4 linked regions of the Saccharomyces cerevisiae S288C genome follow. The protein of the gene in region 3 purifies or fractionates together with the protein of the main gene of each other region. This does not show direct contact. Each region holds a gene or a part of one and is shown on either strand. Other genes may lie near its edges. The genes, in order: SMB1, LSM7, BRR2 and LSM8.

Region 1 (2,776 bases), 320 kb from region 3:
AAAGAGGGAAACTCAAAACTTTTCAAGAAAGAAACGAATAACAATTTGACCTTTATTACAAGGCACTTTGTTTAGGCCAGCAAAGGGATTCTGACGGCGTCTGGGGATTTCAACAATGAGCAGCGAGGACTACGGGTATGATTACGACCTACTATTTAAAATTGTACTGATCGGTGATTCCGGGGTAGGGAAATCCAATCTATTGTCAAGATTTACGAAGAACGAATTCAATATGGATTCAAAGTCTACAATTGGGGTTGAGTTTGCCACCAGAACTTTGGAAATTGATGGCAAGAGGATCAAGGCGCAGATTTGGGATACTGCGGGCCAGGAACGTTACAGAGCCATTACTTCTGCTTATTATAGAGGAGCTGTAGGTGCCTTGATCGTTTACGATATCAGTAAATCAAGCTCATATGAAAATTGTAATCATTGGTTATCAGAATTAAGAGAAAATGCAGATGACAACGTCGCAGTGGGGCTTATCGGTAACAAGTCTGATTTGGCCCATTTACGTGCTGTACCTACGGAGGAGTCCAAGACTTTTGCACAGGAAAATCAGTTATTATTCACAGAAACAAGTGCTTTGAACAGTGAAAACGTGGATAAGGCTTTTGAAGAGTTAATCAATACCATCTATCAAAAGGTCAGCAAGCATCAAATGGACCTTGGTGACTCCAGTGCCAACGGGAATGCCAATGGTGCGTCCGCTCCTAATGGACCAACGATTAGTCTGACACCAACACCAAACGAAAACAAAAAGGCAAATGGAAATAACTGTTGTTAAGAGATATTTTGCAGCAGTTGCGCACTTGCATGTGAATGACTCTTCTCCCCTTTAATTCTGTGCTATATTTTTACAATTTTCTGCTGACATATAGTTTATATACATATAGAACGCATATAGGAAATTGAAGTAAACAGAATACACAAGTAGAGGCCGGTATGTACGACATTTTGCTTACTACTCTTTAAAATCATCGTCTTCTTCGTCTTCATCGTCTTCTTCTTTTTCACCATATCCTACATCATCTTTAGAGCCTGTGCTAGGTTCCTTCTTGTCTAATTCTTCTGCAGTCTTTTTATAGTCAATTACTTTGCCGCGTGTTCTTCTTCCGGATGTGATGATATTAGAGGTATCAATTTCTGCCAAATCGTCCTCTTCTTCTTCTCCCTCATTTCCCATCAATGCGTCTAACTTGGCATCGTCCATATCAGATTCAGAATCTTCAACAGTACCATTATTTTCGCTCTTCGTCAAACCATTTTTAGCCTTAGTCTCCTCTTTTGCTACTTCAGCGTCATAATCGTCATAGTTTCTTCTTCTTCTTCTCTTTGGCTTAGGTTCCACAGACTTTTCGGATTTATTATGACTTGATTCCTTTTGGCTTTCTAATTCACGCTTTTCCTTTGCTTCGTCAGACATTATTTCTCTCTTTCCTTCCATGTATTGAATTTTACTTACCAGGTGTGTTCCCCAATTAACCACCCACCGAGCTTCCTTATTTCTCCATGTTCTTGTTTTTCTCACGATAATGTGGGAAAAAATTCAAAATAAAAATTATGAAAATAAAAAATGAAATTTAAAGAAGCCTATGCTAGTTAGAAATGAACAAGACAGGGAAAAAAGTAGAAGGGGTAACAGAACCATCCGTATAACAGGTTTCCAGTAAAGTAAATAACTAATGAGCAAAATACAGGTGGCACATAGCAGCCGACTAGCCAACCTTATTGATTATAAGCTGAGGGTTCTCACTCAAGATGGCCGCGTTTACATCGGGCAATTGATGGCATTTGATAAACATATGAATTTAGTGTTGAATGAGTGTATAGAAGAGAGGGTACCCAAAACTCAACTAGATAAATTAAGACCGAGAAAAGATTCAAAAGATGGAACCACTTTGAACATCAAGGTAGAAAAAAGAGTGTTGGGACTGACTATACTAAGAGGAGAACAGATCTTATCCACAGTGGTGGAGGATAAGCCGCTACTATCCAAGAAGGAAAGACTAGTGAGAGATAAAAAGGAAAAGAAACAAGCGCAAAAGCAGACGAAACTAAGAAAAGAGAAAGAGAAAAAGCCGGGAAAGATCGCTAAACCTAACACGGCCAATGCGAAGCATACTAGTAGCAATTCTAGGGAGATTGCCCAACCATCGTCGAGCAGATACAATGGTGGCAACGATAATATCGGCGCAAATAGGTCGAGGTTTAATAATGAAGCGCCCCCTCAAACAAGGAAGTTTCAGCCCCCACCAGGTTTTAAAAGAAAATAAGGTTGATGTAGTGTAGTCTAATATAGTTTCCGTATACTTTTTTTGTGTACGCATGTGTGTTAATAGGGAAATTCATAATTAACTTAAGGAAGCATTTTTTTACTATTTTTTCATTACCTAAACATAATTTTAATTTTAATCCCTGTGTGGGATTTTAGGGTGTACGAGATATGTAAGTTATGAGCATATTTTTCCTTAGTTGACGAATAACCTTTAAGTCCTAGGAGGTTCAATATGCAATTGCATGCTATTATGCAACTCAATTGCTCAAGGGGCTATTCAGGTTTACATAATACGGATGAAAAAGATAAAGATCTCGGAAAAACTGAAAGGCACTCTTCGGAAAAACCTCTTTTATGGGGGGTGTTCTGGGGCAGAAACCAAAACGGCGGAACGCGTCCGGAAAAACATACATAGACCACACCGTAGAAATTACTTCCTTGGAGACCCCACCAAAAAATCCTTCACTAATTTTTCCGTGTATAAATGATTTAGCTCCC
Region 2 (2,803 bases), on a different chromosome or scaffold from region 3:
TCATGCGGAATGGGAATCATCGCAGTCGTTATCCGTCTCACAAACGTCGGCATTTGCTGACTATTAAGGCGACACGTAACCTACAAACTCAATTTGAGACGCAAACGCAAGTTGATTAGACGTTGAGAATGATGCAAGTAGCAACATCGGTAATGGTTAGACTATTTTATCAGAAAACTATAGAAAAACTAAAAACAAAACAATGTCACAATGACAAAGAGGAACCCATACATACACAGAGAGCCTATTCTTCCAGTAGTTCCTCAATATCAGCATCACTATCTGGGTCCAACCCTTGGTTTCTTCTCTTAGCCTCTTCCAAAGCGTTTTCAAACAACTCCTGTTGTCTTTTAACTCTTCTTCTAGTTTTCTTACCCCAACCGAAAGAAGTTGTTTCTGCTGTTGCAGCATCATCTGGCTTGTCGATCAGGTCTTTTGATCTCTTTTCCTCTTTGTCTCGTTTGTCCTTTTCCACTTGGGCAGCCAACTGCTTCTTCGCCAATTCCCTGGATGCGATATTTCTTAAGAGTAAATAACCACCTACAATTATCACCAATCTTATAAAGTGCTTGTAGTCATAGTTGACTAGTTTTGCCATCCAGGTATCCACCCATGTTTCCGCTACTTCAGACATCTCTTTCAATTACTCGGCAGTTTTTCTCTTCATAACATCTTTTCCTCATACAAACCGCCGAGTGCACATAAATACAACTACAAATAATAATATGTTGACATCGGATGGAGATCACTAACTAAACCGCCACCGCGCTAATTCTGCACAAATTCAAATTTCATCATCGCTCTCCACGTCATCATGGACGTCTTCCACCTCGGCGGATTCTTCGTCTTTTGATAGAATTTCCACAGCCCGCGGACGCACAAACGATCCGTGACCCGGCGCCACAGGCCCAAACAGTGTTACCCCATTTATGCGCCCATCGTTTTTGCCTGCGGCTTCCGGGAATTCCACACCGCACCATGTGCCCATCACGTCCAACGGTAGTGGTCCTACGTACCGTAAAATGGCCTCACGTGGAGCGCTCCCGTCTACTGTGACACGACAGTGGCGGCCGATAGCCGCCGTTAATTGCTCTCGGGCATATGCTTCGTCCTGCTTTGCCAGCGCAGCGCGCTGGCTCTGCTGTGCAGCATTAAACCTACCATAGCCGTGAGCCATCTTCCATCGTAATACGGATTGATCCCTTCGCAAATAATCCTCCTCGCTAATTACTTCCATTGAGGGGATTCCTTCCGCTTGCGTGGCCAGCTGGTTAGAGATTGATTGGGCATTAGAGTCTGTAACAACCACAATAAGCTCCTCCTCTCCTTTTAGGAAGTTGGCATCTTCATCCTCATTTGAATAGGCACCCCCCTTTTTAGTACTATATATCTCCTTGTTGTCGTACTGTCTTTTCACAACTATTTCCATATCCTCTGGTTCCACTCCGGTAACATGGTACAATCGGTCCTTGAACTGCCTTAATTTAAGCGAATTTGGTAATTCCTTTTCTGTACGGACCAATTCACTCTCTATGACAACTCTAACCATAGTTTTGCCATGTAATTTTTTTTTCTATCTCTTTATTTGAATTCGTTGCTCTATGTTCTTGTCGCTTGTCTTCTTCAACTGCCGTTTCCCTGCGAGCCGGAAAAAAGTACTGTTCTTTCGAACAAAGGCGAAAAAAGCTGTAGCTGAAAACAGACAACTGGGAAACGACAATTAAGAATACGCATGTACGTGTATACTACTACAGTAAAAAAGAAAGTTATTTGAGAGCAGCACTTTGTTTACTACACAGAACATTAACCAAAAAAACATGCATCAGCAACACTCCGTATGTTTCACTTCTTATTTTCTTCCGTGGCAATAACCTTCCTTTTGACTTATTTATACTAACATTATAATAACTATGTTTCCTTTTTGAACTAAGAAATCAGAGAACAAACCACAACAGCAAAGGAAAAAATTCGAAGGCCCTAAAAGAGAAGCTATTCTGGATTTAGCGAAGTATAAAGATTCTAAAATTCGCGTCAAATTAATGGGTGGTAAATTAGTTATAGGTGTCCTAAAAGGCTATGATCAACTGATGAACTTGGTACTTGATGATACAGTAGAATATATGTCTAATCCTGATGATGAAAACAACACTGAACTGATTTCTAAAAACGCAAGAAAGCTAGGTTTGACCGTCATAAGAGGTACTATTTTGGTCTCTTTAAGTTCCGCCGAAGGTTCTGATGTACTATATATGCAAAAATAGGTTTAATAATATAATCTCATATAAACTCCCTTCCTTACAGTTGAAAACAAAATCAAATCACGGTATGGCATTTCTTTACATATTCTCAATACCTGACTGACATAGTATGCGCTACATAGTTTTGTCCTATTTTTTTTACACCGCGATTTGAAGTCTAAAGCCAGAGAATGAGGAAAAACGAAACAAACTGAGATCATTTGTATAAGGGGAGTCACTGTACAGCTGCCAATACCAATTTTCCTTCTGCCAAATCAAAAAAGTATCCGCATACACATACACCCCTCCCTCTACAATCTTAATTATTTACTGATTCCTTTCGTATTTGTCCAGTATGAGCAATACTAAGCATACCACTTCTCATCACATGGAACTCAAAAGGATCATTATCCTTACACTTTTATTCATACTCATAATGTTGATATTTCGAAACTCAGTGTCCTTCAAAATGACATTTCAAGAACTACTGCCACGATTTTACAAAAAGAATTCAAACTCAGTTAGTAATAATAACAGGCCCTCATCTATTTTCTCGGAAAACTTGG
Region 3 (7,789 bases):
CTCTGACACTTTCTAATTAGAGGTGCGTAGTAGCCAAATTCTAGAGTTATATTCCTGAAAGAATGTACCGCGTTGTACTTATAAAGACTAACATTTAACCAATCTTCAGCTTGAACTTTAAATGAATTTTGTAATTTTCTTACTTTCCATTCTCTTGGAAAATAAACCGTTCCATGATTATGGCCTTGTTTACTGATGTTACGAAAGGTTTTGCGCACTTCTCGTAAACCATACTCATTGGATTCTGGTAGACCATTCATATTATCACACTCGCTCAGGCAATCCACAATTGATGATGCATCAGAAATGCTGAATTCGCCTTTATTAAATGTGTTATAGTTCTCTAATATTCCTAATTTGAAATCCTCTTTCGATAACAAATTGTTCGAATTTTCGAAGAGGTTATTAATCATTTCGTTATCGTTATTCGTGCTATGGGAACCATGTATCACCTTCCCAATGGCATGAAAGTATGATATGGTGGATTCTCGGGTTGAAATCGGCAAACTTCCACTTGATGTCGCCCAAAATTGAAGGGTCGTAATGGCCGACCTAATATCACCAGTCTCTTGCGCAATATAATCTATGACTTCCTGTCTTTTATTCCATTTATTTTTCTCCTTCAACATTTTCATATTCTGTACACAAATAAATTTCAAGTGCTTTTTTAATAAAGTGCTGTTAATTGGATTAAACTTAATTCTTTTCAACCTTGGATGCATCAATATTTCTTTGTTCATTATGGTTTCTGCACTAAATGTATAATCAATACCAAATTTGCGATAATTATTATCGTTCTCTGGAATTTCACATTCAGTTATACATATAACAAGGGGAGGTAATAGAGGCTCCGAACTATATAGCCACTGTAATATAAGTTGTTGAAATCGACGTCTGGTATCTATATGGAAGACGTTGGGAAGGTCCTCGATAAGTATTAATGACAGGTTGGACATCACAAGATACCGTGCGCCTTTTAAGAACTCACTAAAGCTTTCCATCTGAGGAAGATCGTTGACTATACAATCACCTCTAAACTCGGTCACTTTATGCTCGTTCGGGGTGCTTCGAAAGGACGTTCCGTTGCTGTTTTGTCTGTATTTAGGAACTAAGATTTTTGAGAGTTCTTTTATGACCGTACTTTTAGAGCATCCACTGGGGCCAGACAGTAGTAGGATCCTATGCTTGGCGTTAGGTAAAAACATGGCATCTAAAGCTTCTTGTACATCTTTAAGTTTTCTTTTATGTATGGCCACTTGCTCCAAACAATTGGGCTTGAACTTTTCGTACCACTGTTCACCGCCGTCGTCGTTGATACTTGGGAGGATACTAGACGTATCTTGCTTGGAAAGAAAGTCATTTTCAGTGCTTCTCGCCTTACGAACTGGCGAAGTCGGTCTAGATGAGCTCCATTTTGTTATTTGCGAGCCCAATGAACTGAGACTATATTGTAATAAGGGCCGTTTGTTCAAATTCGTACTATCCATATCATTCAGACAGGAACAAACTTGATAATTAGTGGTGTTGAATCAAGTACTATTAACGCATTGTGATGATCTCTCAGATATCAATGCGTGTTTGCTTCTTTGACGATCTAATATTGAATATTGTCGCTCTTTACGAGAATATTAAAAATTTATGCTACTAAAGCTATGTCTACTATAAAGGAATAATACACTAATAGAGATAATCTTGAGTAAAATAAGGTGAAGGTAAATATAAGTAATTGCTTTGGAAGATTTACCGTGAGCCTTCGTTATTAAAAATGACTGAGCATGAAACGAAGGATAAGGCCAAAAAAATTAGAGAAATTTATCGTTATGATGAGATGTCCAATAAGGTGTTGAAAGTTGATAAACGCTTTATGAATACCAGCCAAAATCCTCAAAGGGATGCGGAAATATCACAACCAAAATCCATGAGTGGTAGAATTAGTGCTAAGGATATGGGACAGGGCCTGTGCAATAACATTAATAAAGGACTAAAAGAAAATGATGTAGCCGTTGAAAAAACTGGAAAGAGCGCATCATTGAAAAAAATTCAGCAGCATAACACCATTTTGAATTCTTCCTCCGATTTCAGGTTACATTATTATCCAAAGGATCCCTCAAATGTCGAAACTTACGAGCAGATTTTGCAGTGGGTTACAGAAGTTTTAGGCAATGATATACCCCATGATCTTATTATTGGAACTGCTGATATATTCATCAGACAATTGAAAGAAAATGAGGAAAATGAGGATGGTAATATTGAAGAGCGAAAGGAAAAGATCCAGCATGAGCTAGGCATCAATATAGACTCCCTGAAGTTTAACGAATTAGTTAAACTTATGAAAAACATTACCGATTATGAAACACATCCTGACAATAGCAATAAACAAGCAGTAGCAATTCTTGCCGATGATGAAAAATCAGATGAAGAAGAAGTAACAGAAATGTCCAACAATGCTAATGTTCTTGGGGGAGAAATCAATGATAATGAAGATGATGATGAGGAATATGATTACAATGACGTTGAAGTCAATTCTAAAAAAAAAAACAAGAGGGCATTGCCAAACATTGAAAACGATATAATTAAACTCTCCGATAGTAAAACAAGTAATATCGAGAGCGTTCCGATATACTCAATCGATGAATTTTTTTTGCAGAGAAAACTTCGGTCAGAGCTTGGTTACAAGGATACCTCTGTAATACAAGACCTGTCAGAAAAAATTTTGAATGATATTGAAACACTTGAGCATAATCCAGTAGCGTTGGAGCAGAAGTTGGTTGATCTGCTTAAATTCGAGAATATATCACTGGCTGAATTTATTCTCAAGAATAGATCTACAATTTTTTGGGGCATACGACTGGCGAAGAGCACAGAGAATGAAATACCGAACTTAATAGAGAAAATGGTTGCAAAAGGTTTGAATGATCTTGTGGAACAGTATAAATTTAGAGAAACTACACACTCAAAGCGTGAACTCGATTCCGGTGACGACCAGCCACAGTCTTCGGAAGCAAAAAGAACAAAATTCAGTAATCCAGCAATACCGCCCGTCATAGATTTGGAAAAGATTAAATTCGACGAAAGTTCTAAATTAATGACCGTGACAAAAGTATCCCTACCGGAAGGATCATTCAAAAGGGTGAAACCACAATATGACGAAATACATATTCCAGCTCCTAGCAAACCTGTTATTGATTATGAGTTGAAAGAAATTACTTCTCTACCAGATTGGTGTCAGGAGGCGTTTCCTTCATCGGAAACAACGTCCTTAAACCCTATACAATCAAAGGTTTTTCACGCAGCATTTGAAGGTGATTCAAACATGCTAATATGTGCACCCACTGGTTCAGGTAAGACGAATATCGCGTTATTGACGGTATTGAAAGCCTTATCCCATCATTATAACCCGAAAACTAAGAAATTAAACCTTTCTGCATTTAAAATTGTTTATATAGCACCCTTGAAAGCCTTAGTACAGGAACAAGTCCGAGAATTTCAAAGGAGGTTGGCTTTTCTAGGTATAAAAGTCGCTGAATTGACTGGTGATTCTAGGCTTAGTAGAAAGCAAATTGACGAGACGCAGGTTTTGGTGTCTACGCCAGAGAAATGGGACATAACTACTAGAAATTCAAATAATTTGGCCATCGTAGAACTTGTTCGTTTGTTGATTATAGATGAAATACATTTGTTACATGATGACAGGGGACCAGTATTGGAAAGCATCGTGGCTAGGACATTTTGGGCTTCCAAATATGGCCAGGAATACCCCAGAATAATAGGCCTTTCTGCCACCTTACCAAATTATGAGGATGTCGGTAGGTTTTTAAGAGTTCCGAAGGAAGGATTGTTTTATTTTGACTCCTCATTTAGACCGTGTCCTCTATCTCAACAGTTTTGTGGCATTAAGGAACGGAACTCCTTGAAAAAGCTGAAGGCTATGAATGATGCTTGTTATGAAAAGGTATTGGAATCCATCAATGAAGGTAATCAAATAATCGTGTTTGTTCATTCTCGAAAAGAAACATCACGAACAGCAACATGGTTGAAAAATAAATTTGCTGAAGAGAACATTACTCATAAATTAACCAAAAATGATGCAGGATCGAAGCAGATTTTAAAGACAGAAGCAGCCAACGTACTCGATCCAAGTCTACGAAAGTTGATTGAAAGCGGTATAGGGACGCATCACGCAGGGCTGACCAGAAGTGACAGATCCTTATCTGAAGATTTATTTGCAGACGGGTTGTTGCAAGTATTGGTATGCACTGCGACGTTAGCATGGGGTGTTAATCTACCTGCTCATACAGTGATTATAAAAGGAACAGATGTCTATTCACCTGAAAAGGGGTCCTGGGAACAACTTTCTCCACAAGATGTACTTCAAATGTTAGGTAGAGCAGGCAGACCGAGATATGACACATTTGGCGAGGGTATTATAATAACAGACCAATCGAATGTTCAATATTATCTCTCGGTTTTAAATCAACAATTACCAATAGAATCGCAATTTGTTTCAAAATTAGTTGACAACTTAAATGCAGAAGTTGTCGCGGGTAACATTAAGTGCAGGAATGATGCTGTGAATTGGTTGGCGTATACTTACCTATATGTCAGAATGTTAGCTTCCCCTATGCTTTACAAAGTACCTGATATTTCAAGTGATGGGCAATTGAAAAAGTTTAGAGAAAGCTTAGTCCATTCGGCCCTATGCATTTTAAAAGAACAAGAGTTGGTGTTATATGATGCTGAAAATGATGTAATTGAGGCGACCGATCTAGGAAATATAGCGTCGTCATTTTACATAAATCATGCTTCCATGGATGTTTACAATAGAGAGTTAGATGAACATACAACTCAGATTGATCTTTTTAGAATATTCTCAATGTCGGAAGAGTTTAAGTACGTATCGGTGAGATATGAAGAGAAAAGAGAACTAAAACAACTTCTAGAGAAAGCACCCATTCCTATCAGAGAAGATATTGATGATCCTTTAGCAAAAGTGAATGTACTACTGCAGTCTTATTTTTCCCAGCTAAAGTTCGAAGGTTTTGCACTTAATTCTGATATAGTGTTTATTCACCAAAATGCTGGTAGGTTATTGCGTGCTATGTTTGAAATATGCTTGAAGAGAGGATGGGGACATCCCACACGGATGTTGTTAAATCTTTGCAAATCTGCCACAACTAAAATGTGGCCAACAAACTGTCCTTTAAGACAGTTTAAAACATGCCCTGTCGAAGTGATTAAAAGGCTGGAAGCCTCTACAGTACCGTGGGGAGATTATCTACAGCTAGAAACACCTGCCGAAGTTGGTCGTGCAATCAGATCTGAAAAATATGGAAAACAGGTTTACGATTTATTGAAAAGATTTCCCAAAATGTCCGTAACATGCAACGCTCAGCCAATTACCCGTAGCGTTATGAGGTTCAACATTGAAATAATAGCCGACTGGATATGGGATATGAATGTACACGGTTCCCTTGAACCTTTTTTGCTCATGCTAGAAGACACTGATGGTGATTCAATACTTTATTATGACGTACTATTCATCACTCCAGATATAGTTGGTCATGAATTTACCTTATCCTTTACTTATGAGTTAAAGCAGCACAATCAAAATAACTTACCACCTAATTTCTTCCTTACTTTGATATCAGAAAATTGGTGGCACAGTGAATTCGAGATTCCAGTTTCCTTCAATGGATTTAAACTTCCGAAAAAATTTCCTCCTCCTACTCCCCTTCTGGAGAATATTAGTATTTCAACATCAGAGCTTGGCAATGATGATTTTTCCGAAGTATTTGAATTTAAAACTTTCAACAAGATTCAGAGCCAGGTCTTCGAGTCTCTCTACAATTCGAATGACTCGGTCTTTGTAGGTTCAGGAAAGGGCACAGGTAAAACAGCTATGGCTGAATTAGCACTGTTAAATCATTGGAGACAGAATAAAGGAAGAGCGGTTTATATCAATCCGTCTGGGGAAAAAATTGATTTTTTGCTATCTGATTGGAATAAAAGGTTCTCTCATCTTGCTGGTGGTAAGATAATAAATAAGCTAGGAAATGATCCTTCACTAAATTTAAAATTATTAGCAAAAAGCCATGTTCTCTTGGCTACCCCCGTGCAATTTGAGCTTTTGTCACGTCGTTGGAGACAAAGGAAGAACATCCAAAGTTTAGAATTAATGATATATGATGACGCTCATGAGATTAGCCAAGGTGTTTACGGTGCTGTGTATGAAACGCTAATTTCTAGAATGATATTTATAGCAACCCAACTTGAAAAGAAAATTCGATTTGTTTGCCTTTCGAACTGTTTGGCAAATGCTCGTGATTTTGGTGAATGGGCTGGTATGACGAAGTCAAACATCTACAACTTTTCTCCAAGCGAAAGAATTGAGCCTCTTGAAATTAATATTCAGTCATTTAAAGATGTTGAGCACATATCATTCAATTTTTCGATGCTTCAAATGGCATTTGAAGCATCTGCTGCTGCAGCGGGAAATCGTAATTCCAGTTCGGTGTTCTTACCATCTAGAAAGGATTGTATGGAAGTTGCGTCTGCATTTATGAAGTTTTCAAAAGCAATTGAATGGGATATGTTGAACGTTGAAGAAGAGCAAATTGTACCATACATTGAAAAGTTAACAGATGGTCATCTAAGAGCACCTTTAAAACACGGTGTTGGTATTTTGTATAAGGGGATGGCATCAAATGATGAAAGAATTGTGAAAAGGTTATACGAATATGGTGCGGTATCGGTTTTACTCATTTCTAAGGATTGTTCTGCATTCGCTTGTAAAACTGATGAAGTGATTATTTTAGGAACCAACCTTTATGATGGTGCAGAGCATAAATATATGCCATATACCATAAATGAACTTCTAGAAATGGTGGGACTAGCTAGTGGTAACGATTCAATGGCAGGCAAGGTTTTAATTTTGACAAGTCACAACATGAAGGCCTACTACAAAAAATTCTTAATTGAGCCTTTGCCTACTGAGAGTTACCTACAGTATATTATTCATGATACTCTGAACAACGAGATAGCAAATTCTATTATACAAAGCAAACAAGATTGTGTTGACTGGTTTACATATTCGTATTTCTATCGTCGTATCCATGTGAATCCAAGCTATTATGGCGTAAGGGATACGTCTCCACATGGAATTTCAGTTTTTTTGAGTAATTTAGTTGAAACTTGTTTGAATGACTTAGTTGAATCATCCTTCATTGAAATTGACGATACAGAAGCTGAAGTAACCGCAGAAGTTAATGGAGGAGATGATGAAGCAACTGAAATCATTTCTACCTTGAGCAACGGGCTAATTGCTTCTCACTATGGCGTATCATTTTTTACTATTCAGTCATTCGTTTCTTCTTTATCGAATACGTCAACGCTCAAAAACATGCTGTATGTTCTTTCAACAGCAGTAGAATTCGAAAGTGTTCCACTCAGAAAAGGAGACAGAGCATTACTTGTCAAATTAAGTAAAAGACTACCATTGAGATTCCCTGAACACACCTCTTCTGGTTCGGTGAGCTTTAAAGTTTTCTTATTGTTACAAGCATATTTTTCACGTCTTGAATTACCTGTCGACTTTCAAAATGATTTAAAAGACATTCTAGAAAAGGTTGTTCCACTAATTAACGTAGTGGTTGATATCCTTTCAGCAAACGGGTATTTGAATGCTACTACCGCCATGGATTTGGCGCAGATGTTGATTCAGGGTGTATGGGACGTTGATAATCCGTTGAGACAGATTCCACACTTCAACAACAAAATTTTGGAAAAATGT
Region 4 (2,693 bases), on a different chromosome or scaffold from region 3:
ACTTGTCGTGCTGATAAGCACTAACCTGCTTATGGATGAAATTTCTACCGTTTCTCAGATTCTGCACATGGTACGTGATCTTGGTCCGCGGATCACCACCCTTGATGAAATACGAATGTAGCGATGTGGGGAAGAAGTTCAATGGCACAGTATGCAATGACGCCAGCAGCGATTGTGATACCAGCGTTCCACCAAAAGTGCCCTTAGACCCTACGGGCGCGGCAGGCAGATACTTTGTGACAAAACTGGTAGGCGAAAGAGGAACCAGTTCCAATATTTTCTCTAGGTTGGACATGGCCATTTTGGAAGCACTCATTTTTATGCAATCTTGTCTTATCTTGTCTTGCTCATGGTGGATACTGAATTGAAACCCTTTTCTGGTTTATATCCAACTGGCGTGGTTTTTCATTGTAGGATGAGGCTCGGTGTTTATGCCGTCTCTTCCGAGGATGCAATCAAAGGCTCTCTCCTTTGTTGGGGTAGTAGCAAGTCCAATAAGCAACGCTTGTTTGTTGATTGGGCCGATTTACATAGCCTATACACTGCTGTTACATATGCCTGTGTAGAATGAAAAAGCAGGACGCCCGTTTCACAGCTCAGATTCCAGAGTGTCGGGTCTTAGTTCCTCCCAGGGAATAATGGTCCTGGCCGCACGCTTCAGCCGATGGCTAGCGTCATCATTGTCTTCGCTATTGTGGTTTTGGCTGGTGGATAGGGTTGGGGAGCTGGATCTTCTGCGTTTCATGGACCTTGTGACCATCATTCTTGGTGGCGGCACGGACTTCTTACGCTGCTTATCGTGGGCTTCGTCCATATCGTGCAGGAGTGTGGTGCCATTCAGAGACACATCCGGGCGATCGTAGGCGTGATCTGCCTTTTCTCGAAACGCCATCTCTAGAGCAGTCTGGCGGGTTTGTAGACTGTGCATGTCTTTGGATAGAGACAGGAGCACTTTATGCACGTCCTCCAGTTGGCTGCCGACGTTGAAGAGCATCTCCTGGGTGCACCTCATCGACTTTTCCGTCTCATGCTGCTTGTTAGTTACGTGTCGCGTTATCTTGGAATTATACCTGCTTATTTCTTCGACTAATACCTGCCTGTAGCTGGAATCCGACTTTGTCTTCTTCTCGTCGCCTTTCGATAACATTGCTGTTGACACTTTGTCCAGTTGGTTTTCAATCTGGGAAGCCAAATCCTTTATTAAGGTTTTCACGTTTCCTATACTACAGTTGTTAGTAAATGTGTTTTGGAAGAAAATGAATAAAAAACTTGAGGGTATGCACTGTGTTGGTACGAACCGTTCGTAGCAGCATCTTGTTCCAGTAGCTGGTTAAACTTGTTTAGCGATTTACATAATGTCTTAGAATTTTCATTTAAAACTTTAATTAGCTTGTCAGAGTTTTCCCTCAGCTCCATACTCTCCAATTCCAGTTTACCTGCCCATTCCAGTATCTGCTTGTCCGATTCCTCTAAAGCGCCTGCATTCGCTACTTTCCCACTGTGGGAGAATATAGATCTGAACGGTGATGATGTTTCTGTAATCATCAACGAGTGTTCAGAATTAGCCTCTGAAACATCTGTAGATATCTCGTCTGTTCTACCTCTAGCGACCATTTTACTAAATGTTTCTACACGTCTGCAGTATCCTTGTTTTGCTTGTTTTCCTTCTTTCTGTTCTTGTTGATTTTCCCTTTAAGTCCTGAAAATACTATCATGGCGTAAAGGGAAAAAAAAAAACTAATCTTACGTGGTTCTTATAAGATGGACCAGCAAGCTGCATACAGTACACCATACAAGAAGAACACACTATCGTGCACCATGTCAGCCACCTTGAAAGACTACTTAAATAAAAGAGTTGTTATAATCAAAGTTGACGGCGAATGCCTCATAGCAAGCCTAAACGGCTTCGACAAAAATACTAATCTATTCATAACCAATGTTTTCAACCGCATAAGCAAGGAATTCATCTGCAAGGCACAGTTACTTCGAGGCAGCGAGATTGCTCTTGTTGGCCTCATAGATGCAGAAAATGATGACAGTCTAGCTCCTATAGACGAAAAGAAGGTCCCAATGCTAAAGGACACCAAGAATAAAATCGAAAATGAGCATGTAATATGGGAAAAAGTGTACGAATCAAAGACAAAATAATATAGTTGCAATAATAGTAATAATAATAATAATAATAATAATAATAATAATAATAATAATAATAATACCATGTATAGAAGTATATAAATCATACAATAAATTTAAGCATTAACCCGTCACGGACTGGCCATCTTCAGATGCTTCTTCTCTTCGCCAATGCCACAGTCGGGAGGAATCCCCATTTGGTACATCTTTATGGCCAGCTCCATCAAATAATCGATGGCTTCGTTGAAAATTTTGGCCTTATCGATTGTCGGACCCCAAACAAAAATGCCATGTCTCCTCACAATTACGGCGCATGTGTCTGGATAATCTTTAAAAGTCTTGTGCAAGTCATCGATCAACTCGTCCTCATGCGCCATGTTTTCAATGATGGGAATCTTCAGCGTATCAAAAAACGATAGCGCCATGGGTTTCTTGGTCACAGGGTCCACCTTTCCGCTTGGAATTGCTTTGATTTGTTCGATGTTAGCAATCCTGAACTCATCGCCAAATAGCAAGGAGCATATCACAGCATTTTGGGAGTGTGTATGTATTATAGCACC

Evidence for each region.
Region 1: the proteins of BRR2 (region 3) and SMB1 purify together in Saccharomyces cerevisiae (affinity purification with mass spectrometry; 8 studies listed by BioGRID, with this or other methods). This does not show direct contact.
Region 2: the proteins of BRR2 (region 3) and LSM7 purify together in Saccharomyces cerevisiae (affinity purification with mass spectrometry; 6 studies listed by BioGRID, with this or other methods). This does not show direct contact.
Region 4: the proteins of BRR2 (region 3) and LSM8 purify together in Saccharomyces cerevisiae (affinity purification with mass spectrometry; 9 studies listed by BioGRID, with this or other methods). This does not show direct contact.

What each region holds. Positions count from the first base shown.
Region 1 is NC_001137.3:212,087-214,862, reverse strand, and holds SMB1 (mRNA splicing protein SMB1), read left to right. Parts: upstream 1-1,685; coding exon 1,686-2,276; downstream 2,277-2,776. Other genes in the region: Rab family GTPase YPT31, read left to right, coding at 116-787; CHZ1 (Chz1p), read right to left, coding at 965-1,426. UniProt on the Saccharomyces cerevisiae protein: Plays a role in pre-mRNA splicing as a core component of the spliceosomal U1, U2, U4 and U5 small nuclear ribonucleoproteins (snRNPs), the building blocks of the spliceosome.
Region 2 is NC_001146.8:349,123-351,925, forward strand, and holds LSM7 (Sm-like protein LSM7), read left to right. Parts: upstream 1-1,817; coding exon 1,818-1,835; intron 1,836-1,931; coding exon 1,932-2,261; downstream 2,262-2,803. Other genes in the region: PGA2 (Pga2p), read right to left, coding at 245-634; ALF1 (Alf1p), read right to left, coding at 785-1,549; YNL146C-A (uncharacterized protein), read right to left, coding at 2,264-2,458; YNL146W (uncharacterized protein), read left to right, coding at 2,593-2,803. UniProt on the Saccharomyces cerevisiae protein: Component of LSm protein complexes, which are involved in RNA processing and may function in a chaperone-like manner. Component of the cytoplasmic LSM1-LSM7 complex which is involved in mRNA degradation by activating the decapping step.
Region 3 is NC_001137.3:529,998-537,786, reverse strand, and holds the start of BRR2 (ATP-dependent RNA helicase BRR2), read left to right. Parts: upstream 1-1,765; coding exon 1,766-7,789. Other genes in the region: RAD24 (Rad24p), read right to left, coding at 1-1,487.
Region 4 is NC_001142.9:467,966-470,658, forward strand, and holds LSM8 (U4/U6-U5 snRNP complex subunit LSM8), read left to right. Parts: upstream 1-1,818; coding exon 1,819-2,148; downstream 2,149-2,693. Other genes in the region: TES1 (palmitoyl-CoA hydrolase), read right to left, coding at 1-316; REC107 (Rec107p), read right to left, coding at 590-1,218, 1,299-1,614; methylthioribulose 1-phosphate dehydratase MDE1, read right to left, coding at 2,265-2,693. UniProt on the Saccharomyces cerevisiae protein: Component of the nuclear LSM2-LSM8 complex, which is involved in spliceosome assembly. The LSM2-LSM8 complex plays a role in the biogenesis of the spliceosomal U4/U6-U5 tri-snRNP complex by accelerating PRP24-mediated annealing of U4/U6 di-snRNA.